3 linked regions of the Callithrix jacchus genome follow. The protein of the gene in region 1 binds, or shares a complex with, the protein of each later gene. Links are inferred from orthologs where the notes say so. Each region holds a gene or a part of one and is shown in the gene's direction. Other genes may lie near its edges. The genes, in order: NAA35, NAA38 and NAA30.

Region 1 (10,846 bases):
TTCTACAACTGGCAATCATAGGAAAAACTATAGCTAATGAAAATGTACAGATGGAAAAACATGCTATAGATGGAAGTCTCCAAAAAAGAGTCTTGATCCCAACACACCTGGCAGGAAGAAGAGAAAGGCCTTGCCAGCCTCTGAGACCCCAAAGGCTACAGAGTCTGAGACCCCTGGAAAGACCCAGGGAAGAAGCCAAATATCAATGAGTCAGTGAAGGAAAAAAATCCTTCACTGGGGAAAAAAGCCCGAGACAAGCTCTAAAAAAGCCAGAGGCCAAGTTTTTTGCTACTCTTAGTAAATCTGTGAGAAAAGTTTCCCACAGTCCCCCAAAACCCAAAATACCCCAGTTGACCTAAAGTCAGTAATTCAACTGGAAGCAAACATCAGAAATACCTGAAGAGGCTTTTAGAAATATTGGGGTCCCGACCCACTTTGTAGCCTTCTCCAAGGGTGAGGCCTGGACTTGAAGATTTCTTAAAACCTCCATAGGTAATTCTGACATATGATGTGTTATTTTAATCGAGATTTATTTGAAATTATAGATTCTGCATCATTTAATTTTCTGTTACATAAATGTTATTTAAACAAAACAATAAGACTAATTAACAGTGGCAATTAATGGTAATTAACAGTACCGATGAGGGAGAAGGAAAGGAAGACTCAGTTGGAGGAAATTCAGACTGCAGAAGTGGCCTGCCTGAAAAGTCACAGCAACAGGCAAAAATAAAACAACCTAGAAAAAAAACTCAGGCTGCACATGCAGACAGATAAGCAGACAGGGTCCAGCACAGAAGCCTTTTGTTTGTTATATAAATAGCAAGCTCCCAGGGAAAAGTTTCCTTCCCTTTTCAGGCATATACATGGTGGGAACCTGCAAAGGGAGTGGTGGCGGGGGGGCTTACCTAAAACAAACCCACAGTTATACAAACAAGAGAAGCGATGCTTTGTGCTTGCCTAGAGACATAGCCACAGCTGCGTAAGATAAAGGACATTGCAGAAACAGCTTTACTAATAAGAGAAGTTACTCAATCTATTACAGAGATGAGAGGAGTTTCTTATAAAAACTTTTGAATTCAAGAAGAAGCTTCTCCACTCCTCCTGGAATCTCCACCTGATTCAGCCCGCCTGCCTCCACCATGTCCATCAGGGTGACCCAGAAGTCCTACAAGGTGTCCACCTCTGGCCTCCAGGCCTTCAGCAGCCGCTCCTACACAAGTGGGCCCGGTGCCCCAATCAGGTCCTCAAGCTTCTCCCTAGTGGGCAGCGGCAGCTTCTGGGGTGGCCTGGGCGGAGGCTATGGTGGGGCCAGCAGCATGGGAGTCATCACCACCATCATGGTCAACCAGAGCCTGCTGAGCCCCCTTAACCTGAAGGTGGACCCCAACATCCAAGCTGTGTGTACCCAGGAGAAGGAGCAGATCAAGACCCTCAACAACAAGTTTGCTTCCTTCATTGACAAGGTACTGTTCCTGGAGAAACAGAACAAGATGCTGGAGACCAAGTGGAACCTCCTGCAGCAGCAGCAGATGGCTCGGAGCAACATGGACAACATGTTTGAGAGCTACATCAAAAACCTTAGGCAGCAGCTGGAGACTCTGGGCCAGGAGAAGCTGAAGCTGGAGGCGGAGCTCGGCAATATGCAGGGACTGGTGGAGGACTTCAAGAACAAGTATGAGGATGAGATCAATAAGCGTACAGAGATGGAGAATGAATTTGTCCTCATCAAGAAGGATGTGGATGAAGCTTACATGAACAAGGTAGATTACATGAACAAGGTAGAGCTGGGGTCTCGCCTGAAAGGGCTGACTGACAAGATCCACTTCCTCAGGCAGCTGTATGAACAGGAGACCCAGAAGCTGCAGTCCCAGATCTCAGACACGTCTGTGGTGCTGTCCATGGACAACAGCCACTCCTTGGACATGGACAGTATCATTGCTGAGGTCAAGGCGCAGTACGAGGAGATCGCCAACCGCAGCTGGGCTAAGGCTGAGAGCATGTACCAGATCAAGTATGAGGAGCTACAGATGGTGGCTGGGAAGCATGGGGATGACCCGTGGGGTACAAAGACTGACATATCCAAGATGAACATTAACATCAGCTGGCTCCAGGCTGAGATCGAGGGCCTCAAAGGCCAGAGAGCTTTCCTGGAGGCCACCATCGCAGATGCCAAGCAGCGTGGGTTGCTGGCTGTTAAGGGTGCCAACACCGAGCTGTTCGATCACTGCGCTAAGTCCTGGGAACACAGCTTCCATTAAACCGGCAAACCTTCTGCCCTTGGGAAATACATTATTCTGTAAGAGAGATAAGCATTTTTTATTTTTTAAACCAAATTTATTGAGGTTCAATTTACAAACAATAAAATGTACATATTGTAAGTGCAAACTTCAATGAAATTTTACGAATGTATTCACCCACACGGGCACTACCTTAATAAAAAAACAGACTATTTACATCACTTCAAATCCAGTTCTATCCAAGTTAGTCTCTTCTTGAGCTCTGAGCAGCCACTAATCTGTTTTCTGTCACTATAGATGTCTTTTAAGAGTTTGGGGTCTCACTTGGGGAATCATACTCTTTTGCATTTGATTTCTTTCCTTTTTTCTTTCTTTCTTTTTTTTTTTTTTTTTTTTTTTTGAGACAGAGTCTTGCTCTGTTGCCCAGGTTAGAGTTGCAATGGCATGATCTTGACTCATTGTAACCTACGTTTTCCAAGTTCAAGTGATTCTCCTGCCTCAGCCTCCCAAACAGTTGGGATTACAGGTGCACACCACCATGCCCAGCTATTTTTTTTTTTTTGCATTTTTAGTAAAGACAGGATGTAGAAAGTAAAAAGTTCCTCTTTAAAGTTTCCCTTCTTGTTAAATAATAATAAAAATAAATGTTAAAAATAATAGTTTGTTTTAAAAACTAACTTCAAAGTGTTTTGCTTTTTACTAACAACTCTTTGTTAAGCCCTATCCTATGTAGTTATTAGACATGCTTATAGGCACATAGTACATTCTATGTCCTTGTACTTTAACCAAGATATCTGTGCTGGACATGCTCACAGGCATATCCCAGCTCACAGTCTATGCCCCTTCCTTATTTAGATTTCCTCTTTTCCTTTGTTCTCCATTGCTTTTACTTATTTAGAAAAGTTTAAAGTTGTTAGCCAATCGGGTTCAGTTTAGATTGTGAGGTCTGGCTCCAACCAATGGAGATCAGACACAGCAATAAGGACCCAATGTGTAAGAAATAAATATGCCTGCCTTTCCTTTGTTCATTGTACTCTCATGGCAAGATGGCTGATGGGAGCACCCTTTCTGCAGAAAGTAAAATTGCCTTGCTGAGATAGCTTTTTGTCTGAATGCTAATTTTTCCTTGTGGTACCTAGGAAGAAGCATTCTGTCTCTAACACAGGATTTCACCATGTTGGTCAGGCTGGTCTACAACCCAATGTCTCCACCAGCCAGCCTCCCAAAGTGCTGGGATTACAGGTATGAGGCACTGTGCTTTGCCTGATTTCTTTTACTCAATATATTTTTTAAATTAATTCATGTTGCATGTCAAGTAGTTGATCCCTCTTGATAATTATTTTCATTGTATAGATATGCCACAAGTTATTTATTCAACAGCTGATGGACATTTGGGTTGTTTCTAGTTTTTGATTAAAAAAAAAGCTGGGCCAGATGCGGTGGCTCACGCCTGTAATCCTGGCACTTTGGGAGGCCAAGGTCAGGGGTTCGAGTCTAGCCTGGCTAACATGGTGAAACCTGGTCTCTACTAAAAATACAAAAAACAGCCTGGTGTAGTGGCATATACCTGTAATTCCAGCTACTCAGGAGGCTGAGGCATGAGAATTGCTTGAACCTGAAAGTTGGAGGTTGCGGTGAGCCAAGATCATGTCACTGCACTCCAGTATGGGCAACAAGAGTGACACTCCGTCTCAAACAGAAATAAAAACAAAAGAAAACAAAGCTGGTATGAACATTATTGCACAATCCTCTGTATGAATATATGTTTTTGTTCCTAGGTAAATTTTTAGGCAATTACTGGATCATACAACAAGTATATCATTGTAATAAAAGACTAAGTTTTCCAAAGTGGTTGTACCATTTTGCATTACCACCACCCACATAGCAGAGGTCCAGTTGCTCTGCATCCTTGATAACATTTGGTATTATCTTTTAATTTGGGGCCATTCTAAAGAACAGGTGGTGATAAAGATGTGCTTCTTACCTGTGCCAGTCTATTTATGTAACCCCATTTTAAAACTGATAATTTTATTAATAACTTTTAAAAAAATCAAAAACGTGAGAATCTGAAATTAAATGTCTGGCTTGACTTTGCAGATATTTTGTTTCTATGTTCCTTCAGGAAATTCCCAGGCGCTGTATAGGTACATAAATCCGTTGTCAGGCAGCAGTAGCACGTTGCTGGCAGCTTGGCTGCTCCTTCGTACTCGCAACCACTAAGGTCTATGCGCACTTCTACAGTTTCCCTCAGTCTTCGCGGCACCTTTCTAAGAAATTCCCAGAGGGCAGCTCAGAAAGGGCGGGCTCTGAGGCTCCAGGCTCCGCCTCTTTCCAGGAACCGTCCACTACCCTGGACTTCGACTGAGGGTGGGAAAAAGAAGGTGACTTCCGGTCTCACGATCGTCTCTAATCTCGCGAGAAGAGAAGGCGGCCGCCATCGGCAGAACGGAGGCGTTGGCGAGGGAGGGGGTGTGGCCGGGGAGCGCAAAGTCCCCGGGAGTAAGGGGGAGGGGGCGGGGTCGCGCGCCCAGGGTGTACGCATGCGCATACACTGCCTATCGGGCTGGGCTGAGGGGAGGGGGCGGCGGCGGCAGAGGCGGCGTCGTTATTTCCGTGGTCCGGACGGTGCGTGGCGGCGCGGGTAACCACGGGAGAAGTAGGTAGGGACCGCCCCTGCGGAGACGTTGAGACCCTCTCTCTCGTGTGTCCGAAAGCCGCAGCCCCCTGGGCGTGTGGCGGACCCAGGGGACCCCAGGTCACCCTGCGGCCCCGGCCCTCCCGCTGCACGTCAGGTAGGAGCTGCGGGCTCCCAGGTGCCTGCTGTGGGCCGAGGCCCGGCCTTGCCCGGTGTTACCAAGGCGACGACCCGGCACCGGACGTGAGCGCCCTCCCGCGCGGCGACAGCCCTGTCCTTGCCTCCGCGCCCAGTGGGACCGGGGCTGGGCCGGGCTGACACGGGCGGGGCAGAAGGGAAGCGGGTGCCCGCCTCAGGTGTGCTTCCGTCCTAGGCCCGGCCGGTAGGACCCTGCGGTGCGTGCCTGTTCCTCATTCTGCCCGACGAGGCTGTGCCCGGGTCCGGGCCGGGCCGGAAGAGGTCCCAGAGAGCTCCTGGCCAGGTGACGGGCTACCTTCATTGACTTCAGTAGTTGCTGCATGGGATCCTGGGCTGCGAGAAGGGACTTTGAATAGTGCCTTGGTCATTTGTGGCTAGCTAGTAGTGAAAGTTGGAAGCTCTAGAGTTCTTTTCGGGCCAGTGGTGAGATGGTTTGTGATTTTTTCCTCTTAAATAGAAAGGCAAAGTTTATAGGCCCTGGTAGGTGGTGGGCTGATAGTAAATAAGCAGCAGGAGTGTTAATTGACGTGGGATTTGATTGCATTAAGGTTATTCTTTGCAGTACTTGTCTTTAGACTCAGAAGAGTTCTGCTTAAAGAGTTTAGTAAGACTCATCCCATTCTGAAACAAACACACATTTCTGCAAATACTCTTGTCCTGAAAGCTACATCCTCTCTCTTACATCAGTATTAATTTTACAGACATAATGGTTATGAAAGCTTCTGTAGATGATGATGATTCAGGATGGGAGCTCAGTATGCCAGAAAAAATGGAAAAAAGCAGTACAAACTGGGTGGACATTACCCAAGAATTTGAAGAAGCTTGTCGAGGTGAGTCTGATTTTTGTATTAAGACGTTCAGTATCTGGGAGGGGTAAAAATAAAATGACGATTGTGCTTTCTAAACTTACCTCATTAGATGAAATCAACAGGTAAGTGTGGTTTATTGAGTTTGTTAGCCACACTTTTTCCTGTATCTAATTTTAAAGCAAGTGTATATTTGATATAGCATTAAATACAGATGTTGAGGCAGTTTTTTAAAATTGAATTTTTCTTGAACAAGTTAGAGAGTACATAGTAATTTCTAACTAGAGAAAATACTTTGTTAATCTAAAAGATGGTAGTATTTTTGTATATTTGAGGTTTCAGAATGATCAGATCACATCATTTCTTATTTAAGATCCTCCAGTGGCTTCCTGTTGCAGATAGAATAAAATCCAAACTCCTTCCCCATGGTCTATAAAATCTGGTCCCTGCCTGCTACTCAGGTTTCATTTATGTGCCACTGCCCCCACCAGGCTTATTACATTCCAGTCACAGGTCTTTTTTTTTTTTTTTTTTTTTTTTAATTTCTTCATGATACAACCAAGGTGGTTCTCCCAGGTGTTAGCATTTTTTGTTTTCTCTCTTTTAAATTGTTTTGCCCCTTGCTTTCACACAATTCGTAAGTGTTACCTCCCTGGTGAGGACCTCAAAACAACCACTTGTTCTCTCCTCTGCAGTTCTGCTTCAGTTCAGTCACTTTTGTTTTTCTTCATACAGCTTATCTTTTTTTTTCACAAGCCATAATTTTCAATTATTTCTTGTTTATTTTCAGTCTCACTCACTGGAATATAAGCTCCATGGGGCAGAGGTCATTTCTGTAACCCTAGTACACAGAACAGTTCTTGGCACATGGTAAATTCAATAAATAGGAGTAAATGATCGGAGAAATGAACATGTTGGTTGGTTGAAGGGAAGGAGCCTAGGGAGAGACTGAAGAACAAGAGAAAGAAACAAATACTAGAATAAGAGCTTGAACGTTAAAGAGAGGATGAGATGAAGGACATGGTAGAGAAATTAACTTGGGGAAAAGCATAGGGACACACTGAGACAAGAAGGACTAAAGTTAGGATGACTGTAAAGGTATATTTCTAAGTGACAGAGGAGGACTGGTGAAGGAATTCACACCTGATGGCTTCAATTGTCTTAAACAGCTTGGTTGGGGTGTTTGAATAGTGCTCTGAAGGGGAGGAGTAAAGACTTGAGACAGCTGCAGGTGGAAAGGGAACCAGCTAAGTATAAGCAAAATGATAAATCATGTGTCATCCTTTGTTTTGAAATGCATGTCCAGTTCAATCACTTTTTATTGCCTCAGTGAGACAGTGGAAAGAACATGAGACTAGGGGTTGGGTGCCTGCCCATGTATGTCTATCTAAGGAAGAGAGAAGTGTCGAGTTACAGTGTAGTTTTTGTGTTCAGAGACCTTAGACTATTGAATGGATTATACTTGTCATCTTGCACTGATTTTAAGTAATCTCTATTAGGGGGCTGTCATTATGAACCTAAATAGGGAAGGTTTTTGAAGGATATTTGGCTTGGTTTGGGCCTTAAGGAGAGAGCAGGTTTTTGTAAGGGTAGGTAATAGAGTGATTCTAGACTGCGATGAACTGTATGAGTCAGAGTTCAGTGAGGATTTTATGTTAGGAGAACAATAAATAATTTTGCTTGGCTACAGAACAATTTTCAGTGCTGGGAATTATAGAGGGTCTTTAGTGCCATTGGTGTGTGTGTGGTTTTTGTTTTTTGTGTTTTTTTAGTTTGAGCTTGTTTTATAGGCAGTAGGAGTTTGTTAATGGTTTTGAGCATAAGATTGAAAGTGTATTCCCCTTGATGATCAGTACAATGGCTTGGACCCTGTAGAAGCTACTCTGTAGTAGCTTCTCAGTAACGTAGTGAGCTTTATAGTCAGGTATGGGCTGGAGTCCCATCTCTGTCGTTGGTTTAGTTTCCTTGAAGTTTAATTAATCTGAGTCTTAGTTTTCTACTCTGGAAAGCAGAGCTTCTACTTTAGAGAATTTTGGGGATTAAATGAGATAGTGAATACAAAGTACTGGATCTATAGTAGCATTCAATGATGGTAACTGTTTTTACTCAAGGTATTTGTTTAGAGTTGAAAACATAGAAGGTTTATCTACCAGCATAATTATGAATTAGGATGAAAAGAGCCTGTAACCTTAGACAAGGTTTTGCACTCAGCCCAGGTTGGGGTGTTAAGGCCTTGGACTAGGACTTGAGAGAATGGACTAGAAGGGTTACATATGAGAACAAATAAATTCATGTTGCTGGAGAGGTGAAAGAAACATGAGAGATGATGTGTTACTTAAACTTTTCCCTTGGTGACAGCAGAGGAGAGTGAACACATATACTACTTCTAAACCTCTCCTTCCTAAATCTTATGGATGGAGTTCAAAATATCTTGTTCATAGCTACATGATATCTTTATAATTTCCTGTTTTATCTTAGAAATTCATGGAAAAGTTTGCATTTTACAACATGTTTGTTGTTTGAGGGAAACACATTTCATTTATGTTAAAGGTCTTTTGCTTCTCACATCATCACATTAATTTGAGATTAGGCAGCTGTACAAAGTTTAATCCTGTCTTTGAATCCCCTGGGACATGATGTTCACCCAGGGTTGTTGTGTACCACAATTTGAAAACCACAGGTCTGCAGAATTTAGTCTCAATGAAATATGACTTTAGAGGTCCTCTTAATTTTAGTCATACCGCTTGCTTTCATATGTATATTCTCTACTTGTTTTTGATTATAAGAAAAATTGAACCCAAGAAAGCAGTTTAGAATACTGGTGGGAGAGACGTTTTGACTTGCCTTCGACTTATATCATAAATTAGACTTATTTCTTTGTGAAGGAACTTTGAGTGGGAGATGAAGTTTAATCTGTGCTCCACTGTGGATAGAGAGGGGGTGGCATGCCATTTTGTGGCCAACATCATGCCATCCTATTAACTCTTCGATAATTAGCTCTTGCACTGTGTCAAGTGGCAAAAATGTGAGGTATCTTTCTTGGAACTAAAGAAAAATTGATATAGAATTAATCTTCATGTACAGATTTAGGACTAATGACTGTTGGCAGTTCTTGATCCTTTGGTATTTGTTTTCCTTTCTTGAAATAATCAGATTTGTAGTCTTGATTATGGTTTAGTAGGCTTCTGTTCTAGTGGCTTTCTGAAAAGTAAATTTAAGACAGATATGATTACATTCTTTTAACTTGCAGGAATCTCTCCTCTTTGGTGCAAGTGTAATGGCATTTGGCTAGACTCTGGTGATTTTTTTAGTACCATAAAATAGTCTGCATATTGATGGCGAAGTTGTTTTTCATCTACTTTTGTACGTATTCTTTTAGTGGCTCTTCAAAGTCCTGAATCAAATACAAACCTTTACCTTTCATGATTTCTTTTATTTCCTACTAGGCAGGTAGCACACATTCCCTATAACTACTCTTCAGGCTCTTATTTTTTCTTTTCTGAATTATTTGTAATTTCACCATTACTATTGTTTTGCCTGATAGGAGATATGTAATTATTTTAAGTAATACTCTAGGCTTTCTTTTTTTAAAAAAAAATTTATAATTTTTTTTTTTTTCTTTTTAGAGTTAAGGTTTCACTCTGTCACCCAGGCTGAAGTGCATGCAGTGCTATGACCATAGCTCACTATAGCCTTGACCTCCTGGGTTCAAGCAATCCTCTCACCTTAGCCTCCTGAGTAGCTGACAATACAGGCATGTGGTATGCCTGGCTTTTTTAGATTATTTTTTGTAGAGACGTTACGTTATGTAGGTTGGTCTCGAACTCCTGGTCTCAAGGGATCTTACCTCAGCTTCCCAAAGTGTGGAATCTTCTTACCTCAGCTTCCCAAAGTGAAGCTTTCCTTCACTAGGAAACGTCTAGGCTTTCCTTGGAGCTTCTAGGCTTTCCTTCTCTAGGAAACCTTTCCTAATTTAAACCATCTCATTTTCTACCTGCAAAAAGTCTCTGATCTTCATATTCCATTTGGTTTTCCATATTTAGATGCTTTCTGAATTGTAAACTCAGAACTTAGAAATTTCACTTAAACATAAATGATCATGTAACATATACTGCTCCTTCTGCTGCCCACCAGATTCCCTTCTCCCACACTATGATTAGCAGCATTCTCTCCTAGGATGATGGCACCAGTAGTATCTGGAGCCCAGAAGTAATCCAAAACCTGCCATGCTGACTTCCGTTCTTTTTATGTTTTAGGCTAGGAGGATATGGGCCCATCCTCTCATTCCATTTTCTTCTCTCTTTGATGGCCTAGTTTAAGCTTGTCCAACCCACTGCCCAAGGGCTGCTTGTGGCCCAGCATGGCTTTGAATGTAGCCCAACACAAATTTGTAAACTTTCTTAAAATGTTACGAGATTTTTTCTTTTCTTTTTTTTTGTAAAGCTCATCACCTATTGTTAGTGTATTTTATATATGGCCTAAGATAATTATTCTTCCACTATGGCCCAGGAAAGCCAAAAGATTGGACATCCCTGGCTTTGTTCATTATTCTGTAGTCAGTCTTTATTCCTAGCACTGTTGGTTAAGGCTTTCCAGATTCTTTCATCTTCTTTAGTTCCTGCTTAGTACTTTAGGAAAATTCATTTACACTTTGTCTTGCCTCTTATAAAACCTGGGATGCTTAAACTTCTCATTGCTCTTCCATTCTTTTCTATCTTCCCTCACCTAGAATATTTGTAGGTGCTCAATATGTATATTTGTTTTAGGAATGTAGAAAAATTCTAAAGCCATACTTCCTCAAACTGAAGAATATTTCGATCTAGGACTACAGAAGTTTGAGAACCACTGTAGTACATTAAATGCTGTCATTTTGGGGGATTGCCTGTAACCAGGATAATTGTGAACCACAAGCATGGAAACTGAAATTATGTTGATACTTGATTATAATGTTATTATCTAGGTGATCTGGA
Region 2 (9,286 bases), on another chromosome or scaffold:
ATCCTTTTTTGAGTTTTGCTCTTGTTGCCCAAGCTGGAGTGCAATGGCACTATCTCAGCTCACTGCAACATGCACTTCCCGAGCTCAAGTGATTCTCCTGCCTCAGCCTCCCAAGTAGCTGGGATTACAGGCATATGCCACCATGCACAGCTAATTTTTTGTATTTTTAGTAGAAATGGGGCTTCACCATGTTGACCAGGCTGGTCTCAAACTCCTGACCTCAGGTGATCTGCCCACCTCAGCCTCCCAAAGTGCTGGGATTGTAGTAGGCATGAGCCACTATGCTTGGCCAGAGACCCTCTATGGAATAATTTTTGGTTTTGGATATTGGGGAAGCAAGGAAAGAGAATCCTGTGGTAGAGACTGTAGCACAGGAATCAGACATCCTATTTCTTGGTCCTTCCTTGCCTAGTAGGGTACAACATCTCCCCCACTAGTTAAAGACAGATGAGTTTACTTAACATTTGAGTTAATTCAAAATTTATTGAGCAGCAACTGTGTGCTCAGCAGTGAGAATATAGCACTGAGCAAGATGTGAGCAAGATCTCTGCCCTCATGAGCTTACGATCTAGCAGTGCAGCCAGCCAATTTCATCCATAATTTTACAAATGTAATTTAAAACTCTGGAAAATGCATGGTGCTAACCGATTTAACAGAAAGTCCTGACCTACTAAGAAATCAGAAAAGACTTCCCCAAGGAAGGAACATTTAGGATCAGCTAGGTGGAAGGTGAAAGGAACAGTGTTACAAGCAGAGAGGACAGTGCATGAGGGCTCTGAGGCAAGATGTTTAATGAACTGAAAGCCAGTGTGTCTGGGCCATAGAGGACAAAGAGGGGTGTTATGAGATGAGCCTGAATTATACAAGGCCTTTGAATTTGGGACTTTATTCCAAAAGCAGGTGAAAGCCACTGAAGAAGCTAAGGAAAGTCAGATGTTTAGGTTTGTTTTTCATAGCTGACTCTCACTGCAGCATGGAAGGCAGAAGTGGACATGGGAGAACAGGTTTGGAAGTTTCCACAGCAGTCTGGACAAGAGGTGATGGTAATTTGGAGAAAGACAGGTTCCAGAGATATCAGGAGACAGAATATACTTGATGAGTGACTGCATGTGTGAGGAAAGGGATGTGTTTCTGGCAAGAGGTTCTGAAGTAGGAGTCTTTGGAAGAGGGACAGGTTTTGGCAGAATGAGGACATCCCATAGGCACAGGACAGGCCCTGAGGCTTGCACTAGAGGAACAGCATAGTTCCATTCTCAAATAGTTCAGGGTTTAATTGAGCAAACAAGGTACACGTAATTGCAGAGCTGATAAAGATCAAAATGATCGATTTAGATAATTCACGGACTCCTGCATTCCATGGGGTTAGATTTAAGCCCTCCATGTCACAGTAAATTCAGATACTGCTGAAGCCAACAGCAATGTTTCCACCTTTGTTCATGCCTCTCATAGCCCCTCAGAGAACACCTATACAGCTCACCCAGTATATCTCACAGGGGCCACCTTCTCCTGTGCTAGGCCCTGGTGCCCCCTGGCAGGAAGACACACTAAATACTTCTTGATTGTTTTGCTTGCTGCTGCCAGGAAGTTCACCTGTTATTCTCAAATCTCTTCCCCTCCTTAAGTTGAAGGAGACCAAATCTAGCCATTCACCCCCATAGTGGTTCTTTTTTGGTCACCAAGAGAGTCTCCTGACTTACTTAGCATCTCTCTTTACATTACCCCTGTGAAGGTGCCTCTTCTGGAGTCACCATCTTGCAACCTGTCTTCCTCATCTTCTCTAAGTGGCAAACTGCCTCCTTTTTCTCCCTCTCCACTAATTTGCCAGCCTTTTCCCCACTGTATTTTTCCCTCAGTTTGGTAAATACCCAACTCTTTGCCCCAGAAAAGTCAGAAGAGAAATTTGGGGTATGAGATTAACAAGGAAGTAGCCCCAATAGTTATTGCTTAGCTGACACTTAGCCTTCCTTGCCTCCTCTTTGCCACAGGAAAACTCTGCAAACCCCCTTCCAGAGACATTAACTGCTAACTATTCAATAGGCACACAGTTTCCTGTTGTGCAAGGAGCCTAGGACAAAGCCACACCCCAAATACTTGCTCTGAGAGCAGTGGTTACAAATATTAACATGAAATTAGACATTCAGATGGTCCCTTTATATCAAAGAACATAGACTTTGGAGTTGGGCAGACTTGAATTTGCATCCTGGCTCTAGTAGTTTCTAACTAGTGTGCCTTTGAGCTATTAAACTGTTATAAGTTTCAAAAGACTTATCTGTAAAATAGTAATGGTATCCACCTTCTGGGGTTGTTTTCTTGAAGAGGCTATTTGGGACCTGAGGCAGGAGGATCACTTGAGGCCAGGAGTTTGAGACCAGCCTGGGCAACAGAGTGAGACCCTGTGTCTACAAAAAATAAAAAAAGTAACCAGGCATTGTGGCAGGTGCCCGTAATCCCAGCTACTCAAGGCAGAGGTGGGAGGATCACTTATGCCCAGGAGTTCGAGGCTGCAGTAAGCCATGATTCTGCCACTGCACTCCAGCTTGGGTGACAGAGCAAGACCCCTTCTCTTTGAGGGAAAAAAAAAGTGTGTGTATGTGAAGTACCTAGCATAATATCTAGCCTGAATTGCCTGATAATGATTCACTTCCTTTCTTTCCCTTGGGTTTCAGCTGCCAAATACTCTTCTACAAGTAAGATAAGCCAGCTTTGTATGGTCAATGATAAACATTTCCTATTCCTCTTTTTATAAATCCCATCTTCCTGCAGAGAGCTCATTTCCATCATTGCCAAAAAAGTTCTTCCATCTCTCACCTTTGTAGAACTACTCTCAACTATCAAACAGCTCTGCCTGAACTCTATCATTTTCTACATCTCCCTAAACCAAGACACTTGATCTTCTTGTATCATTCCCAAAGATTAATTCACTTCTGGCACTCTCCCTAATTATCTCAGAGAAAAATGTAATGAAGGCAGGGAATAGGGCCTTTACACTTCAGAAGGGCACAGGCTAGTTCCTAGAGAGGAATGGATATCTAGGTCCAGGCAGCCCTCGGCCCCACCCTTTTCCTCAAGGCACAGAAAAAGCCAAACTCAAAATATGTCTCGAGTCTACATGAGTGTACGTCTCCTTTCCTACAGCTCTGTGAGATCATCATTGAAGTACAGAAGTATTGCAGGTGTGTGAAGTGTACTGTCCATATTGAGATAGTCAAATTCTTCTTCCTCATCCCGGATCCCATTCTCTTCCAGGGTAAAATCCATGTTCAGGTTCTTCCCTTCATATTTCCACGTGTAGCTGGCAGCATGTGCATTATAGGGGAGATAGCGGTGTAGGATTTCCCATATTGACTCCAGAACCCCCACCTGGAGAACATAGAAGCACCCACCCCCAGAATTCTGTATGGAGTATATACATACACACACTAGGATCAGAGTGCCTCCCTTGGCAGAGAGCAGCTTCAGATACTCTACAGCCCCAGAAAAAGAAAAAAGCTGAAACTCCAGCATGCAATGAACAAGACCCTACAGATCTGAATGGCAGCCAATTCTAACTAACCCATGGCCATAAAGGGTCAACTGTCCCCTCACTATATCCATGCAATAGATTAATAAGAAAGTTGAAATGCTGTCCAACAGCATGTAAGAGCTTCGAAGGACCACCATCACTGAGATGCATGAACTGCTGTCCCCGGGCTTATAAAGGAGTCTCTTGTCCCTTTGTGACCCAGACACTCCTAGAATTCCCAACCCTGGGGACCTAGGTGCTGTGCTTTCCTCAGTAGCCTCAATGTAAAGGACAGAAAATATAGCTCCCACCGGTTATTGAAAACCTGATAGCCTGAAGATCGGCTTGAAGATTTGCTAGGATTCCTGTTCCCTCTAACCTGCCCCTCCCCCACCAGTTCTCACCTCCAGTGTGTGCTCCTGCGACGTGAGTGTGTTAATGATGCGGACGCTCCGGCTCTTGGCAGACAGCCGCCCCACCTCATAATACGACCTCTGCCACCAGGGCTTCCCAAAATCGTTGGCCCAGTCCGAACAGGGCAGCTGAGGCGGAACGTGCACAAAGCGGCCCCGCGGGGTACAATACCTCAGGCAGCCGGTCAGCGGATCTATGTGCTTGCGGATCTTTAAAGGAGGGTTTGGGGCAAGGGGGTTGAAGCCAGATCCTGTTTAAGGATCTAGCTAGCCTCCGCTTTTCCTCCCCATCCCCGCTCTCCATTGCCTCTACTCACAACCCCAGATTCCAGCAGAACTCACGTCTCCGGTCTTTGGATCAAACCAGTGACTGATGTCCTGGCCCGCAACTTCCACGATGGGTTTTAGCAGCAAGTTCCCTGGGAAAGAGCAGCCACTGTCAATGCCAGCCCTTCAAGAACCAAGCAAGCAAGCAAGGAAGCAAGCGCGCGCACACACACAAACAAACACTCCGGCCCCGGCCCAACGTGTGGCCCTTACCCTTGTATTCCTGTGCCAATGGCGTTAGGTCGTACACGCGTCCCAGGTAAGACACCCAGAGGTCTTCGGGCCTGTTATGTTGGGCCACCTCCGCCGGCGTGAAATAGCGACGCTGAAAATACTCCAAATCTGGCCCAGCCACCAGGCCCCGGCGCGGCATGGCTCTTGCTTTGTCGGTCACTGGCTCCCGTGGTTACTCCTTTGCTCCTCAGCACGCACGCACTACTGCGACCTCCGTCGCGTCCGGGAGCCAAGGGGAGCGCGTTTATCCGCTGACATGGAAACCATTGTCCTTTCCCGGCCACCGTCCACTGAGCTCAAAGACCGGTACGGGGATGGGACTGCAAGTGTTCACGGGAAACGTAGTGTGAGTTCCGCATCGGGCATAGAAAGATCAAGTAATTGAGTGGCGCCGCTTTCTGGAACTGGAGCCGGGATGGGTCGGGGAGAGGCGCGGAAAACGAACATGCTCCGTTTTGATTCAGTGGCCTGGGTTACGTGGGATATTTAGTACAGACTATCTCCCTGAGACACCAAAATAAGGGAGGAAGCAGTATGAAAGAATGTATTCTCCCTAAATTCCAGAGTTTCTAAAGGATAAGAAACTGAGGTAAAGGTCTCGCGATATCTGAAGACATCCGGCGTATGACATCGTTTCAATGAGCCACAGCACAAGAGAGGTAGGAGAAGCTCGCGAGATCTCTGCAGTTGCCGAGGAGACTAGGAGTGGGAGAAAAGGTGATCTCGCGAAAGGAAAGAGATCGGGAGCGCTCGCGAGATCTCGGACCACCCAACCCGAAAGGTGCTTAGGAAGCTGAAAGGCCCAGAGGAGGCCTCCGGGCAAATGGCTGGAGCTGGACCGACCATGCTGCTACGAGAAGAGAATGGCTGTTGCAGTCGGCGTCAAAGCAGCTCCAGCGCCGGGGTTAGCACGGGCTTTGATTCTGGGATTGAGGGGCAGTCGAGCAGCAAGATGGAGGGTGTGGGGAACTGCAGCTCCCGGCAGCCTCTGGGCTTCGTGTGAGTACCCTGCGGGCTGCCGGGAGCTGTGGTTCCTCGGACGGGCAGCCGGGATTGTGCGATCTGAGCGCTCGTTCCACCCCTCGCAGGATTCGGACGGAGAGCGCGAGGACTCGGCGGCTGCGCGCGCCCGGCAGCAGCTAGAGGCGCTGCTCAACAAAACTATGCGCATTCGCATGACAGATGGACGGACACTGGTTGGCTGCTTCCTCTGCACTGACCGCGACTGCAATGTCATCCTGGGCTCGGCGCAGGAGTTCCTCAAGCCGTCGGGTCAGTGCCCGGGGAATGCACACCCTCTTGGGAATGTGGCGGAACCTTACGCAAGGCATTTCCCCTGCAGGGCCTAGCTGCACCCCTTGTTTTCTGGAACCCGTTTTCGTGGCTCAGAGGGGCGGGACTGATTGTGGCCTGCTTCCCTGATGCTCTGATCCTTCTTTCTAGATTCCTTCTCTGCCGGGGAGCCCCGTGTGCTGGGCCTGGCCATGGTACCCGGACACCACATTGTTTCCATTGAGGTGCAGAGGGAGAGCCTGACCGGGCCTCCGTATCTCTGACCACGATCGGATACACCTTTCAGATTTCATTAAACTTATGACCGAATGGTCCCGTGTCTGTGTGTACCTGGGATGGCAGGGCAGGGATAGCACACCTCACCCCTAGAGGAAAAGCTTCATCTGAAGTCGGGAGCACTCAGCCCTCCTCTCCCAACCGGGTTGTCCAGGGGTGCCAAAGTTTCTCTCAGGTTCAGAGGTAGAGATGGGGGACAGGGCTGAATGACAGACCAGCAGGCGCCCCAGGGTGGGCCCCTGCATCTTCCCTCCCACGCTGCTGCTCCAGAATTGTGGCGGGAGGGGGTGTCATCCTGCTCCGGAAGGCCCATTGTTTCCCGCCCCGGGCTGGCAACACCGAGTTCCTCTAAGCCGGGGTCAGAGAACGGGCTCAGGTCCCCAAGGGGAGCAGGGCAGGCAGCCGAGGCTGGGCCCCCTCCTCTCTATTGATGGGGAGGTGCCTGGGGTCAGGGACAAATCTCTGAGGTCTGGCCAGGAAGAACGGACAAAAGCGATAAGGCCAGGGGGCTGAAAGATGCACCTCTCTGCGCATTTGCAGCCCTGGCACATGTTTCCTGTTCCTCGGCACAGGACAGGAATGATCGTACTTGTGCCACTCTTCTGTTCACAGAGCACGTTCGTTAAATCTTTATTGATATGTGGACACTCCTTCCCCTCTGGCCCCACCTCCCTGCCCCCAGCCCCAGAAATACCGGAGGAGCTGCCCCATAAAAGGAGGGCATGAGATTGTGGTCCCATTCACGACACAAGGGCTGAGGGGGAGGTATGCAGGGTCCAGCCCAGAATTTGAGGATTTAGATGTGGGTAATGGAGGGAAAGGGGGTTTTCCGGGATGTAGGGGCTTTCATCAGCATTGGGTCCACTGATGCTGCTGTTCCCAAAGGGTTGTTAGGACTCCGATCAGGCAGGGGTGGGGGCAGGGCAGGTCGGAAGAAGAGGGGCTTCCAGTTCATAGGCGGAATAAGAGGGAAGGCAGCCGTCAGGGTTCTTCTTGACTCGGGGATAATTAGACCCAGACCTTTCCTGATGTGGGAAGGGCCTGGGACCCTGGTGAGGCCCGGGTTTGCCTCGGCTGCGAGGTGCGCCGACGCCGGTAAAGGGCTCGGCTGTAGGGCACGAGGCAATCGGCTAGGCGGAGGCGCAGGCAGAGGCGGCGGTAGCTGGCCAGAGCAAGCACTAGCAGCGGCACGAGGAGCAGGAATCCGGTGACCAGAAGGGCCGTGAAACCGGGGTCCCGCAGGTGCGCGGTGCAAGGGGGTGCCTGGGAGCGCAGGAACTGTGGGAGAAGAGGAGTCAGGCCCAAGCCGACCGGGCCATAACTGTGCACGGGGTGGAAACAGCCCAAGCGGGTTGAAGTTGTGGCCCATAAACCCCAACCGCCAGCATCACCACACACCAACACCCAACACTCACTCACACCCCAGGGCGCACACTCACCTGAGAGTGGCAGAGGAAGCCGAAGCCCAGCATGGTGACAGCGGGTAGCAAGATGGTCCCTAGCACCAGCGCCAACAGGAGAAGATTGAAGGCAGCCACTAGCAGATTCTGGGCTGTTACAAGCACAGCGCAGGCCCAGCAGTCCAGGGGGTCCCGGGGCTCTGGGCCGCCGGGAACCGCTCGCTGTGCCCCCGGGACATCCGCCATGGCCTGCCTGTATCCAGCCCGCCTGGGCTGCTGCCTTATAGTCCTCTTTCCTGCCCCTCCCCCGGCCCAGCCTCTCCCCACCCCCCTTATCCTGGAATGCGGCTGTAGGATTAGGCACCCCCCATCCTGAGGAGCGGACCAGAGCCCAGGACATTCCACAGGCACCTCCGGGGAGGGGCTCGCCCTTGCCAGGGTCTGCGCCGTCCTCCCCATCAATCACGGTTTTCCAGCCCTCCCGGTACGTCCCTGCTATCAACCAGCACGTTAGCGAAACAGGATTTTTTTTCCGCTTTTATTTTTAATATTAATATTCTCACACAAAAATCACCAAAAATAGGGGTAGGGTTGGGAAGACCTCTCTGCCCCTAGGGCAGAGAGACAGTGCAGTGCGAGGGTGCGGGACTGTAAATCCCCCACCCCTCCGCAGCCCCAGCGTGGACAAAAAACCACCAACAAAACGAAAATAAAGCCCCAGAGAAACTCACCCCGGGGTGTCCCTGCCCCAGTGAGGCCCTGGCCCTGGGTTGTTTCACACTTAAAAACAAAAGGGGGTAGGGGTGAAGGTCTGTGTTTTTAAAGTTGGCCGGGACTGGGAAGGACGGGGTTCCTTTTCCTCATAGTTCTTTCTTTAAAACCTTTAAATTTTTTTATTTTATTTATTTTTTTTACAAAATACCATTTCAGTTCCCACTTCTTCCCCTACAGTACAGGAGTCGCTCACCCTCAGGCGGGGTTGGGGTCGGGTCAGGAGTGAGGGGACTGGTCCGAGAAAGTGCAGGACATAGGGGAGGCGAGCGGGTTTGAGCACCATGAGAACCCGGCTGGAGCCGCGGGCGGACGGGTGAAGACGGTCGGGCCGGACCCGGACACATACTGGGGCGCAGGGAGAGCCCGGCGGTGGGCGGTCCCCGGAGGGGCAGGCAGGATGGCTCGGGGGTGTGGGAGGTCGGGTTTTCCCAAAAATGAATAAATAGAGGTGAGTGGGACTGTTATAAATTAAAAACCAAAAACAAAAAAAGAACAAAAATTACAAATCATAACCAAGTGAATAAAGAGACATGTACAGGGGTCACAGCTAGCATTGGAAATAAAAAAGGAGGTTCTGGGGGAGGGGTAAAGCCCATAGAAAGAATCTCATTAAAAACCTCGGCTGCCGTAACGTCTATGTACATATACACGAGCCGCGTGCATCTGCGCCGGGCGGGCGGGCGGCTGGCAGGGTGAGGGAACCCGTATGTGACCCCCGCCGCCGCCGGAGCCTGGTCCTTGTGTCTGTTGCTAAAAAGGCCAAAGTCGGTGAGGGGAGGGGCTGGTGGGTGAGGGGCTGCCAGCCCCCTCCCCCGTCTCCCATTTTTTTTCCTTTTTTCCTCATATTTGCTAAAAAAAATTTTTTCTTAATAAATTAAGTGAGGGGAGCTGCCAATGGGGTGGAAGGGCTGGGCCCGACCCCCTTCCCGGCCAGAGGCGGGACCCAGGTCCAGCCCAGGCATGTGCTGGTGGCCCCGCGGCGCCCTGCAAGGGCCGGCAGGCGGGCGGGGCGTCCGGCCTCATCGAGACGTGCTGGCGGGGGCCTGTGGGGACAAAGCCGGCAGTGG
Region 3 (10,832 bases), on another chromosome or scaffold:
TTCTTAGCATATTATTTTTGTCCTTTCTAAGCCTAGTTTTTAAATGTCTTGTTTCTATATTTTCTCACTCAGAGACAAAGTAATGAAATAAACATTTTGTTTCACATACTTGTGTTTTAATGCAATATTCAGGCAAAGTTTACAAAATCATTTCCCTTTCCTGGACTGGCTTCACAGAATCAGTCCCCACAATGATGGAAAATGTCCTTTCACTACAACACGTGATGCAGGATGTAGTGAGCTAAAGCTGAAATAATTCAGCCAACCATGTGTATGTAGACTGTGGTATTGTTACTGAACGCATTGTCTCAAAGTGTTCATTTTAATAATAAAAAAATGCATTTGGGGCCAGGCATGGTGGCTTATGCCTGTAATCCAAGCAAGCACTTTGGGAGGCCAAGGCTGGCCAACATGGTGAAACTTCCTCTCTGTCAAAAATATAAAAAATTAGCCAGGTGTAGTGGCGCATGCCTGTGATCCCAGCTACTCAGGAGGCTGAGGTGGGAGGATCACCTGAGCCTGGGAGGTAAAGATTGCAGTGAGCTGAGATTGTGCTACAGAACTCTAGCCTGGGTGACAGGGCAAAACCCTGTCTCAAATACTACTACTACTAAAAAGCATCTGTGATTATTTTAAGTAAAATAATCTTAAGACCCAAGTATATCACATATGTAATGAGAAGTTCTATGTAAGTAAATTTAGTTAAAGGTATATACGCCAAGAGTGATATCTACAATCTGAAAAGGTATAGAACAAGATCAATATTTTATTCATGCATTCAAAATAATGTATTATGTATATACGAATAAAAAGAGGATTAAGATGTAATTCCTACCAGAAGAAGCAACAGACAAGCAACAATCATAGAAGTCTGCAGCACTCACAGAGTAGGGAGAAACCAGTTTTGCAAGAGGTGGGGAGGTGTGTGTATGTGAGACAGAAGAGATGGGAGGGGAAGGGAGGGAAGGGGAGGGGACCTCTGCTCTTTAAAATAGCCAATCAGGATTAGTCTAGCTTGTGCAGTCTAACCTTAGCCAATAGGGAATGACACAGCCCTTAGGGACAACCCCCGTCAGCCATAAGTACCCCTTCCCCACTTGTTGAAGCATGCAGCCACCATTGCTCCATCCCTATGCCACACCTTTCTATAGAAGTAAACTGCCTTGTGAGAGGATTTATCTGAGTGCTATTTCTTTTGCTGCATTGAAATTTTACTAATAACACAGATTTTGAAGAGTTAATGTGAGGTTGAAAGTAATGAAAATGGGGACCATTTGATCATAACCCTCTCTGGTTCTTCATAGTTCTCTGAGGCCTCAGTTCTACAAACAAAATTGATGCCTACCTACAATTGGGACTGCCATCCACTATTTGCAAGGGGAAAGAAGGTTGAAGAACAGGCTGTCATTCCCCAAATTCTACAGGAAGAATCAAATTGTTTGCCCTTTATCTGGGCATCTCAGAGTGTTCCAAGATTACAGGTAATAAAACAATATACTAATATTCATCCTTTGGTTAAATTCTTTAGCTCTCAAATTTGATGTATGTTCTTTCTTTCATTCAGGATGAAACAAAGCTAAGGACATTCATTTGCAGGGCTTATGTATCATAGATAGGATTAGTGGGATTAAGAACCACATGACGTAAAATAAAACTACACAAATACTTAAATTATTTAGTAGGTGTGCCTATGGCACATAACAATGTCATCCTACTGTGTCAAGGGAACTTAAAGCATATTTCCATTATTCATTCCCACAGTTACCTTTCAAGTAGGTACACAGTTAGGTTTTTTTCTCTAAACCTTGCCAATAAGAGAAAAATGCCTTACTGTTAGAAAGTATTAAAAAGAAATGTTTCTTCTTCCAAGCTGATTTCAAGAATTTGCTTTAGGATGTTGTTTTAAAATGGTTGTTAGTTATTTTTATTGAGTGGGAAGTTTTTTTTTCTTCTAAAATATTAAGGTATGTCCTCTTCTTCCTCAAAAGAGAAAAATAGTAAAAAAAAAAAAAAAAAAAAGATGGTTGCTTCATAGGATATTACAAAACAATGAAAATATCAACTACCCACACAGAAGAGTATCACTGGTACACTTACCTTGCTCTGAGCCCTTTCTTTCCTATGAAGTTATTGCTCATGGAGGTGGTTGTTTTTTCAGAGTCTCAGAATAGCAAATGTGTCTAAAGCATTAGAGTGAAATAATCCTATTTCTATGCCTGCAATAATGCTATCATCCTATCAAGTAAATATGAATAAAATAGAAAACATTTCATAACTTATAAAGACAAATTTCTTAGAGAAGTCATCTGATTTAGAAGGCCAACATTGAAATTTTAATACCAGCATATAAAGAAAAATCACTGGGACTGAGACATTCGAATCAGCCCACTAGTTATTGGGGAGATCAGAATTTACTTTGTCATTGTAAGCATTCTGGAGTACAAATGAGAGAAGAGAGCAATTCAAAAAGTTTAACAAGTTCCCTTTTATGTGTTAGATAGGTGAATACTAAGGAACAGTTACTCCCTGACCTCAAGAAGGTACTTGTAACTCTTGACTTTCTAAAAACAACTTTGAGACATCTGGTCAGCTCCCCAGTCTGAGTGAGCTCATCGCCAAGTTGCAACACAGGAAGAACAGGAAGACCTGCTGCCATTCCCTCACTACCATAGAGTCACACATGTTTTTTAGGAAGGTCTTACATTTCAAAGTGAATGACTGAGAGACGTTTTTCTAAGTAAAAATCACCCTTAAACATTTCTTATAGAATTATCTGGGGCCTCTTGGGCCAGTTTTTCCACCATGATTTGAACAGATCATTGTTTCATTAGCTGACCACCCAGCTTGCATTTAGAAACTCTGAAAAAAATGTATCTTTAAACAAGGTATCACATTTGGAAATATGGTTTTGTTTTGTGCTTTTAAAAAAAAGCCGTGCATGGTGGCTCAAGCCTGTAATCCAGCACTTTGGGAGACTTAGGCAGGCGGATCACAAGGTCAGGAGTTCAAGACCAGCCTGACCAACATGGTAAAAACCCATCTCTACTAAAAACACAAAAATTAGTCAGGTGTGGTGGCGAACAGCTGTAATCCCAGCTACTCAGGGGGCTGAGGCAGGAGAGTTGCTTAAACTCCGGAGGCGGAGGTTGCAGTGAGCTGAGATCGTGCCACTGCACTCCCGCCTGGGCAACAGAGCGAGACTCCATTATATATTCTGAAATGGCCACAGCAATATTTCTGGTCCCACATGTTCTTTGAGAACATTGCCTCTCCGCACCAAGAGGTAGAGTCTATTTCCCTTCCCTTGAAACTGGATATAATTTTGTGTCTGCCTAGATAAAATGCAGCAGAAGTAACACTACATAACTTGTTTTTTATTTTGTTGTTTTTTTGAGAAGGAGTCTCCCTGTATTGCCCAGACTGGAGTACAGTCGGGCAATCTTGGCTTATTGCAACCTCTCTCCTGGGTTCATTGATTCTCCTGCCTCAGTCTCCTGAGTAGCTAGGACTACAGGTGTGAGCTACCACGCTCGGCTAATTTTTGTATTTTTTGGTAGAGATGAGGTTTCACTGTGTTGGCCAGGCTGGTCTCGAACTCCTGGTCTCAAGTGATCCTCCCGCCCTGGCCTCCCACAATTCTGGGATTACAGGCATGAGCCACCCCACCTGGCTTGAGATTACATGACTACTAAGGCTAGATCATAAAGGGCAATATGCTTCTGGTTCACTTTCTCACACGATACTTGTCGTTGGAACTCAGCCACCGGGCTGTGATGAAGTCCAAAACAATCAGTGCTAAAAGACCACCTGGAGAGGTCTACATGGACTAGAACTTAGGCTTCCAGCCTTTTGCCTGCATCAACCACCAGTAGTAAGAGTGAAGTTTTCATATAATTTTCCTCAGCCTTGGAGTCTTCCAATTGAAGCACTATGCATAATGGTGTAGAGAAAAGCCATCCCAGATGTGCTCTGTCTGGGTTTCAGAGCCACAGAATCTGTGAACCAAATAGTTATTTTATACATACAGAGTTTAGACTATGGCAAAAAGTTGCAAACACGTTCCGTCATATAATTATATGCTGAAAATGTCCATCTGCGGCACACCAGACCAACTGTATAAATCAGGTTTTTAAAAAACCTAATTTGCTCAGTGTGCGGGTGCGTTGCACTACCTGTCTCAGCTCAGACCTGCTGAGTCAATTGTGGACTAGAGCAGGAACTCAGCCACAACCTCAAGTTCTATCCCCTTTGCACTCGCTAGGCAGATCACTTGGGAGGAAGGAGCAGGCCACCTGTTTACCAGTCCTTCCCAACCTATTCGTGTCTCAAGTTTAGGAATGTGCTTCTTAGCCCTGGTCACTCTTTCACCATCTCGCTCTAACCCTTCCCCAGGTGTGCTCGCAATTGCCCAACACTTGTTAGTCACATTTGCCTCCAATTTTACTAGGCGCGAGGAGCAGAGGAAGAAGGGGGAAGCGGGCTGACTCCCCTGCCTTAAAGTGGCAAGGGCCAGCTGAACTTAATTCACACTACAAACCCACGTTTCGACAGTCATCCTCGCATTTTCACAGCTTCCTTTCCTTTCGGATCTGTTTCCCTGATTTGCTCCATTTTTAACCGCTTCTCCCCCACCCTCCTTGTCCCTAGTTGGGGCAAACATTAAACGCTGTTTAGCTCTAATAGGTATTTTTAGGTAACTTGTAAATGGCTGGTTCCACAGGCCCCGAACTGGCGAGATTCGCCGCAGCTCCGAGTGGGCGGTGGACTTGAAGCAGGGAGCGCCTGCCGGGTCCATCCCTCCCCGGCCCCGCGTGGCAAGTACCGCGGGTTGAGGAGCCCCAAAGCCGAGAAGGGTTTGGGAGCCTGTGACTCCAAAGCCCTCTGCAACTTCCCGGCACCACAGCCCCACCCACTAGCACGCGGCCTTCCCCAGAGATCGCAGGAAACACCTCCGTCCCCGCCCCTCCACAGGTCACCTCCCTCCACGCCCCTCTCCCTTGGTCTGGGCAGCCGGCAGGCAGGGAAGTGTCGTAAAGCCAGGCCCAGGAAACTTTACCCGGGGTAACAACCGAGGCGCTTTACGGCGACGGCGGCTGAGCGAGAGCCTTGGCGGCTGTGGAGGCGGCCGCGGCGACGTAGGAGGCGGCGGCGGTGGCTAAGGAAGAGGAGTGGTGGCAGCGGCCGCGGGACCGGTGCGGGGTGAGCCGCGAGGAGGGGACGGGGAGGGGCCGCGGGTGACAGGGCTGGCGGGTGGGCCCGGGCGGACGGGGACGGTGGCCGGCTGAGCAGCTGGGCGGCGCTGAAGAGCCGGGGGGGGGGCGGCGCGGAATTGGGGGGGCAGCTCCGTGAGGGACGGTTTCTGCCTTTGTTCCCCCCACCGCGGCCGCCCCCCACTCGCCGCCCCCTTTTCTCCGCGCTTGTCGGCCGGGTTTCATGGCCTCTCCTCTCGGTCTGTGTCGCTTCTAGGATGGCGGAGGTACCGCCTGGGCCTAGCAGCCTCCTCCCACCACCAGCACCTCCGGCCCCGGCGGCGGCCGAACCCCGCTGTCCCTTCCCGGCCGGGGCCGCCCTTGCTTGCTGCAGCGAGGACGAGGAGGACGACGAGGAACACGAAGGCGGCGGCGGCAGGAGCCCGGCGGGTGGCGAGGCGGCGACGGCAGCGACCAAGGGGCATCCGTGCCTCCGCTGCCCTCAGCCGCCGCAGGAGCAGCAGCAGCTCAACGGATTGATTAGCCCCGAACTGCGGCACCTCCGGGCGGCCGCCTCCCTCAAGAGCAAGGTCCTGAGCGTAGCCGAGGTGGCCGCCACCACGGCCACCCCTGACGGAGGCCCCAGAACGACTGCAACAAAAGGAGCCGGGGTACTCTCGGGCGAGAGGCCCCCTCATTTCCTCCCTAATAACGCAAGAACTGCGGTCCCCAGCCCGGCGGAGGCAGCGGCGGCGAGCGATCCCGCGGCGGCCCGCAATGGACTGGCCGAGGGCACCGAGCAGGAGGAGGAGGACGACGAGCAGGTGCGGCTTCTGTCTTCGTCCCTGACCGCCGGCTGCAGCTTAAGAAGCCCTTCGGGCAGGGAGGTTGAGCCTGGGGAGGATCGGACGATACGATACGTCCGATATGAATCCGAGCTACAAATGCCCGATATCATGAGACTGATCACCAAAGATCTGTCCGAACCCTACTCCATTTATACCTATAGATATTTTATCCACAACTGGCCACAGCTGTGCTTCTTGGTAAGTGGATAGAATGAAAAGAGGGTGAACCCAGCAGTGATCTAGACCGGGTGTGAGGCCGGGAGTGAGGGCCGAGAGTGTGGCAGTGGATATCTCCTGCTGCACATATCATGGTACATTATATGACGTCAAGTGCGTGTACACATTCCTAATTATTTAATGAAACTGTTTTGAAGGTAAGACTTCATGATTTGGGTTAACGTGATAGTACTGTAACTGCAGCAAGCCTGTATGTTGGCTTCTTCCACTGGGGTGGGGGTCTTGTTTACATTAGATTATAATCGTGTTTAACTGTCTTTAATTACCCGCCCTCATCCTCAGACACTTTACAGTCATTTAATTTGAACATGGTTCTATTCGGATACAGGCCTTATTAGTCTCTGAATTAGAACCGTAATCAGGGAAGAGTATATGCATAAAACATGTTTTGGTGAACATGAATGTCAGCGAACTTGGTGTGGCCATATTGGAGAATTAAATCTTACAAGCATTTTCAGTAATTATGGAGATTGTTTCCTTTTACTTCAACGGGACAGTTAACAGTTGTAGCCAGCCTGCTTTCTGGTACTCCATTGCAGAAAGCGCTACTAACACTTCTGGTGGTTGAAAGACTCCTGAAACTTGAACAAAATACCCTTTTGTGGAATGTGGAAAACTGAAGTGTGAAATTGTTACCAATGTGATTTTTTTTCTTTTTTTTTTTTTTGATTTAAGAAACTGTAGATGTGGTTAAACACTAGTAACACTGGCTTGTGTAGAGTATAATTGACAATTATACTTAAGTGAAAGACTTTTGGACAGACAGTTTTAAAAAATTTACATAGTATTGGCAGTACCAGTAATTTCTTCAAAATAATATTAACCAACTTCAGTCTTTATGAATACTTTAACTCAAATGTTGATTGCAGGTGTATGCTTTGTATCATGTGCTTACAACCATATTGTTTCTGTTGAATGTTACTAAAAAGATGACATGCTTTTAAGGAATATTTTATATGTGAAGGGAAAAGCCACCATTACTTAATATTTTAGCATTGGCTTAGTTCCACTTAGTAATTCCCTGCAAGATATTTTGACAATACTTAATTGTTTTTTTGATTCTCTACCTTGGTAGTAATTTGAAAATATAACCTGGTATCCTAGATAATGGTAGTTCTATTTTCTGTTTTAATTTTGCTTAAACTTGAGTACATTTGTTTAAACTGTGGGTACTATTTTATATTCTTGAAAACTGCTCTTTCAGAATTCTAAGCATCATATCAGAATAGTTCTAAGACGTCTATATCAATAAATAGGAGAATGATTTATAGCACTATTATAAATGTCATATCAGATGCCACTGTAATTGCTGAAAATTGTAGATTTAATGGTAAGTTAAACCACAGAAGTAGATGATTGAGTCACGTTTTAAATTGAAGTAGATATTTTTCTGTCCATTCCAGGAACTGGTTGTATATATGATATTTAGCGAGCTTTTTAGTCCTGATATTTACCTAGGCCTCTCTCAGCTTGTCTGCCATTTTAGACTCTCGTCAATGATATTAGTAAACTTTAGTTTTTATTTTATGTAAAACCCCCCAATTCACCAGCTGTGTGTATGTTAGCTTTTAGTAGCTTAAGTTTGTTTAATATTAAATTCCGAATATCAAGAAATTAAGACATGCACAAGTGGTTGACCTGTAAGATTTACTGGTGCAAGTATGAGTCAGGAGGTATTAAACAATAACAAAACAGTAGTTAAAAAACAATCAGACCATTTAGAACTGAAGCCTTTGTCTTGGCATACTTTTAAATTTAAGTCTAACATAGAAACTATTTTTTAAAAAATACAAATGCGTAAATGTGTATGTTTATTTTAAACCATATCATTTTAGAACTGAAAGGGATCCTAGAGATAATCTAGCCTAACTTAAGTTTTGTTTTGATTGAAAAAAAATTAAGGACCAAAGTGACTTAAAATGTTTAAATCTCCAGATATTTACTGACAGGGGTAAAGGTAGAACCCAGCTCTTCTGGCCTCTCATTATGGTAACAAATAACCTGAAAAATGACATACCCTTGATCCATTCAGTGAAGATTATGTCACAAAGTTATCTTCACAAAGGGCAGTTGCCCTTACAAACATCAATCTCAGTAGATTAGAAACCTCCAAGTTTTCTATGGATAACCTGCAATGGGTCAGTGGAATATATGGGATTGAACCTTACAAAATTGCCAATACTTGACTGACTAACAAAAATGACAGCTTATTATGATTCTTCCTAATTGTAAAATACATATTTTTAAAAGTACAATACAAATGTAAGACACTTTCAGTTACTCTGTAACCACTTTATCTTTACCTCTTTTCATAGTAATTTTTTCAGTTGATACCTTTTTGAAGTTCTTAAACTTACTGTCAACAATGTAACATAGTACTTGCCTTTATTTGCTCTAAATTTAACTTTTTGGCTTCCTCCAGTTTTCTATTTGTAGTGTTCTAGAATTTGGGAATCTCTCACTTTATGTTTTTCATAGTTTATAGACTGACAACCCTTTAGCCCTGTAGTGTTGTCTTAATTTTGACAGGGAGTTTTCAGTTCCCATCCTTGAAAAAACACATTTACTAGCATGAATTCTAAATGTATGTGCAGAGCTTTTATTTGGAAAAATTGACAAGCAATTTAAAGATTCTTGTACCATATATTCATGAGTAGTTTATCAGGAAAAAAAAATACAGCATTGGTCTTCTTCTCTACCAATATCATAATGGTGTATGATATATTGGACTTTTTAGATAATGTATATAGCTTGATTTTTGCTCCTACAGATTCTGAATTGGGAAGACATCAGGTCTTAAGAATGAACTAATACAGTATTTTGTTTTCTTATTACATGCTCAGAGGACAAAGATTTGTTTGAAATTCCTGTTCAGATTGAAAATACTGTCCAGTTGTATTGCGTTTAATGGTTTTAATTTTTCCTCATTTGCAGGTGGTGTGGCTGTTCTATAGTTTATATCATATAAGGTGTGGCTGTTCTATAGTTTATATCATCGGTCTAATATAGGTTTTCATTTCACATAAGCCTAGTTTATGAGGTCAGGCCAGATTTTTCCTGGCCCTTTTAAATATGCCATTTGGTCTGTGATTATTTTATGTATGTATATATATTTATATATATCTGTATACACACATATATATTTGAAGTGAGTCATTGTCAAATCAAAAAGCTTTCAGAGTTGTTTAAGGCAATATTTGTGAATACTTTAGGTATTTAAACAATTTTTCAAAAAGATTGATGTGAGGGAAAAAAATAGAAATAACAATTTCAAAGGTTTTATTGACCCAAAATAGTTTTGGAATGTGTGATAAACCAGAAATGAATTAGTGTGGGTTGTTGAATTTCATATTCCTTCAAAAGGATTTTTCCGACCTAGTTTAGGTTTGCATGAAATAGATTAGAATTATCTTGCCTAAAAGATTTCTTCACAGTTAAAAGAAGGCTTTTTAATCAATTTACAGAATGACAGACTAAAAAAATCATAACAAATTTATGTTAAAATATGTATTAAGTATAAATTGGACATTACTTATTAATCTTTTAACTCATTTCTGCTTTTTGTTGTTGAAATAGTTCTGGAAAGTTAATTTATAGAAATCTTCCTACTGACACATTATTTAAACAGTTGGAGGTTTTGCCCTATTTATATTTACCAGAAATACCCTGTTACTAGAACTTTTTTTTTAATCAGCATTGGAATTTTGAAAAACATTTTCAATGGTAACACTAGAAATCTTATGAAAATGGGGGCTGATTAGGTTTTTAACATGTAGCTTTTAATACTCTGGAAAGCTGTACATTTTTGTTAAAGTTCTATAAAATCGAAGCTTTTAACATAAACCTTTGATTTTGAACTATACATATTCTGAGAGCTCTATGACAGTTATCCACACTGTCAGGAGTATCCTAAAAATGAGATCATGGTATGTTTAGGTATATTAGCAGAAAGCTCTTAGGTATGATCTAAGCATTACCTTATAAACAGTGCTTTTTCTGAAAATTTTTAATTTTTCTGATCAAAATCTACCATTCAGGTGTAAATATGTATTATATCCAGCTTTCACTAAAACATTAAATTTATTTTTATTTTTCTCTTTTATTGAGATGGGGTCTCATTCTCTCACCTAGGCTGGAGTGCAGTGGCCTGATCTCAGCTCACTGTAGCTTCTGCCTCCCTGGCTCAAGCCATCCTCCTATTTCAGGAACTACAGGTGCACGCCACCACTCTGGCTAATTTTCATATTTTTGGTGGAGACAGGGTTTTGCCATGTTGCCCAGGCTGGTCTCAAAGCCCTGAGCTCAAGCAGTCTGCCCACCTCAGCCTCCCAAAATGCTGGGATTATAGGTATGAGCCACCATGCCTGGCCATTATTATTAAATTTAACTGAATATGTTTGAATTTATATTCTGCTGATAGGCAAGTTTTACAGTGTTTTATGTCCTAATGAACAGACTTTTTCTTTATAATAATTTTTTTATGTATTTCTTCTTCCAGAATCTTAGGTCTTTGTGGCAAATAACTGTGATTATAAGCACCTTGTGTGTAATCTTATAA

What was found.
Region 2: the proteins of NAA35 (region 1) and NAA38 are in contact, whole or in part, in a cryo-EM structure (PDB 7MX2), measured with the Homo sapiens proteins. The link is inferred for Callithrix jacchus from reciprocal best matches to the Homo sapiens genes NAA35 and NAA38. Residues at the interface, in NP_001308810.1 of Homo sapiens: Val30, Asp31, Ile32, Thr33, Phe36, Ala39, Cys40, Leu43, Leu45, Glu47, Leu48, Leu49, His50, Asp51, Phe54, Glu58, Ala59, Ala62, Ile63, Glu64, Met65, Met66, Ala72, Gly73, Met74, Gln306, Arg307, Leu309, Pro310, Pro311; in NP_001307854.1 of Homo sapiens: Ala41, Arg42, Leu45, Glu46, Leu48, Leu49, Arg61, Phe67, Leu68, Cys69, Thr70, Asp71, Arg72, Cys74, Ile77, Arg97, Val98, Leu99, Gly100, Leu101, Ala102, Met103, Val104, Pro105, His108, Ser111, Ile112, Glu113, Val114.
Region 3: the proteins of NAA35 (region 1) and NAA30 are in contact, whole or in part, in a cryo-EM structure (PDB 7MX2), measured with the Homo sapiens proteins. The link is inferred for Callithrix jacchus from reciprocal best matches to the Homo sapiens genes NAA35 and NAA30. Residues at the interface, in NP_001308810.1 of Homo sapiens: Leu45, Gly46, Leu48, Leu56, Ala59, Met60, Ala62, Glu64, Lys69, Glu121, Phe313, Pro314, Arg315, Ala444, Leu510, Glu511, Leu512, Glu517, Pro605, Lys606, Phe607, Glu608, Leu609, Asp610, Val614, Arg615, His618, Arg619; in NP_001011713.2 of Homo sapiens: Glu221, Pro238, Ser240, Tyr242, Thr243, Arg245, Tyr246, His249, Asn250, Lys304, Ile324, Glu334, Asn335, Leu336, Gly337, Val339, Arg340, Asp341, Lys342, Arg343, Phe345, Arg346, Tyr347, Tyr348, Leu349, Leu359, Trp360, Leu361, Arg362.

What each region holds. Positions count from the first base shown.
Region 1 is NC_133502.1:97,178,738-97,189,583, reverse strand, and holds the start of NAA35 (N-alpha-acetyltransferase 35, NatC auxiliary subunit), read left to right. Parts: upstream 1-4,802; 5' UTR 4,803-4,893; exon of another isoform or gene 4,894-5,493; intron 5,494-5,771; 5' UTR 5,772-5,776; coding exon 5,777-5,900; intron 5,901-10,846. UniProt on the Homo sapiens protein: Auxillary component of the N-terminal acetyltransferase C (NatC) complex which catalyzes acetylation of N-terminal methionine residues. N-terminal acetylation protects proteins from ubiquitination and degradation by the N-end rule pathway.
Region 2 is NC_133506.1:74,350,381-74,359,666, reverse strand, and holds NAA38 (N-alpha-acetyltransferase 38, NatC auxiliary subunit), read left to right. Parts: upstream 1-5,159; 5' UTR 5,160-5,299; coding exon of another isoform or gene 5,300-5,339; coding exon 5,340-5,748; intron 5,749-5,919; coding exon 5,920-6,032; 3' UTR 6,033-6,078; downstream 6,079-9,286. Other genes in the region: CYB5D1 (cytochrome b5 domain-containing protein 1), read right to left, coding at 3,130-3,360, 3,907-4,125, 4,258-4,334, 4,456-4,615; TMEM88 (transmembrane protein 88), read right to left, coding at 7,054-7,323, 7,485-7,691; KDM6B (lysine-specific demethylase 6B), read right to left, coding at 9,239-9,286.
Region 3 is NC_133509.1:92,042,197-92,053,028, forward strand, and holds the start of NAA30 (N-alpha-acetyltransferase 30), read left to right. Parts: upstream 1-5,080; 5' UTR 5,081-5,199; intron 5,200-5,466; 5' UTR 5,467-5,467; coding exon 5,468-6,235; intron 6,236-10,832. UniProt on the Homo sapiens protein: Catalytic subunit of the N-terminal acetyltransferase C (NatC) complex. Catalyzes acetylation of the N-terminal methionine residues of peptides beginning with Met-Leu-Ala and Met-Leu-Gly.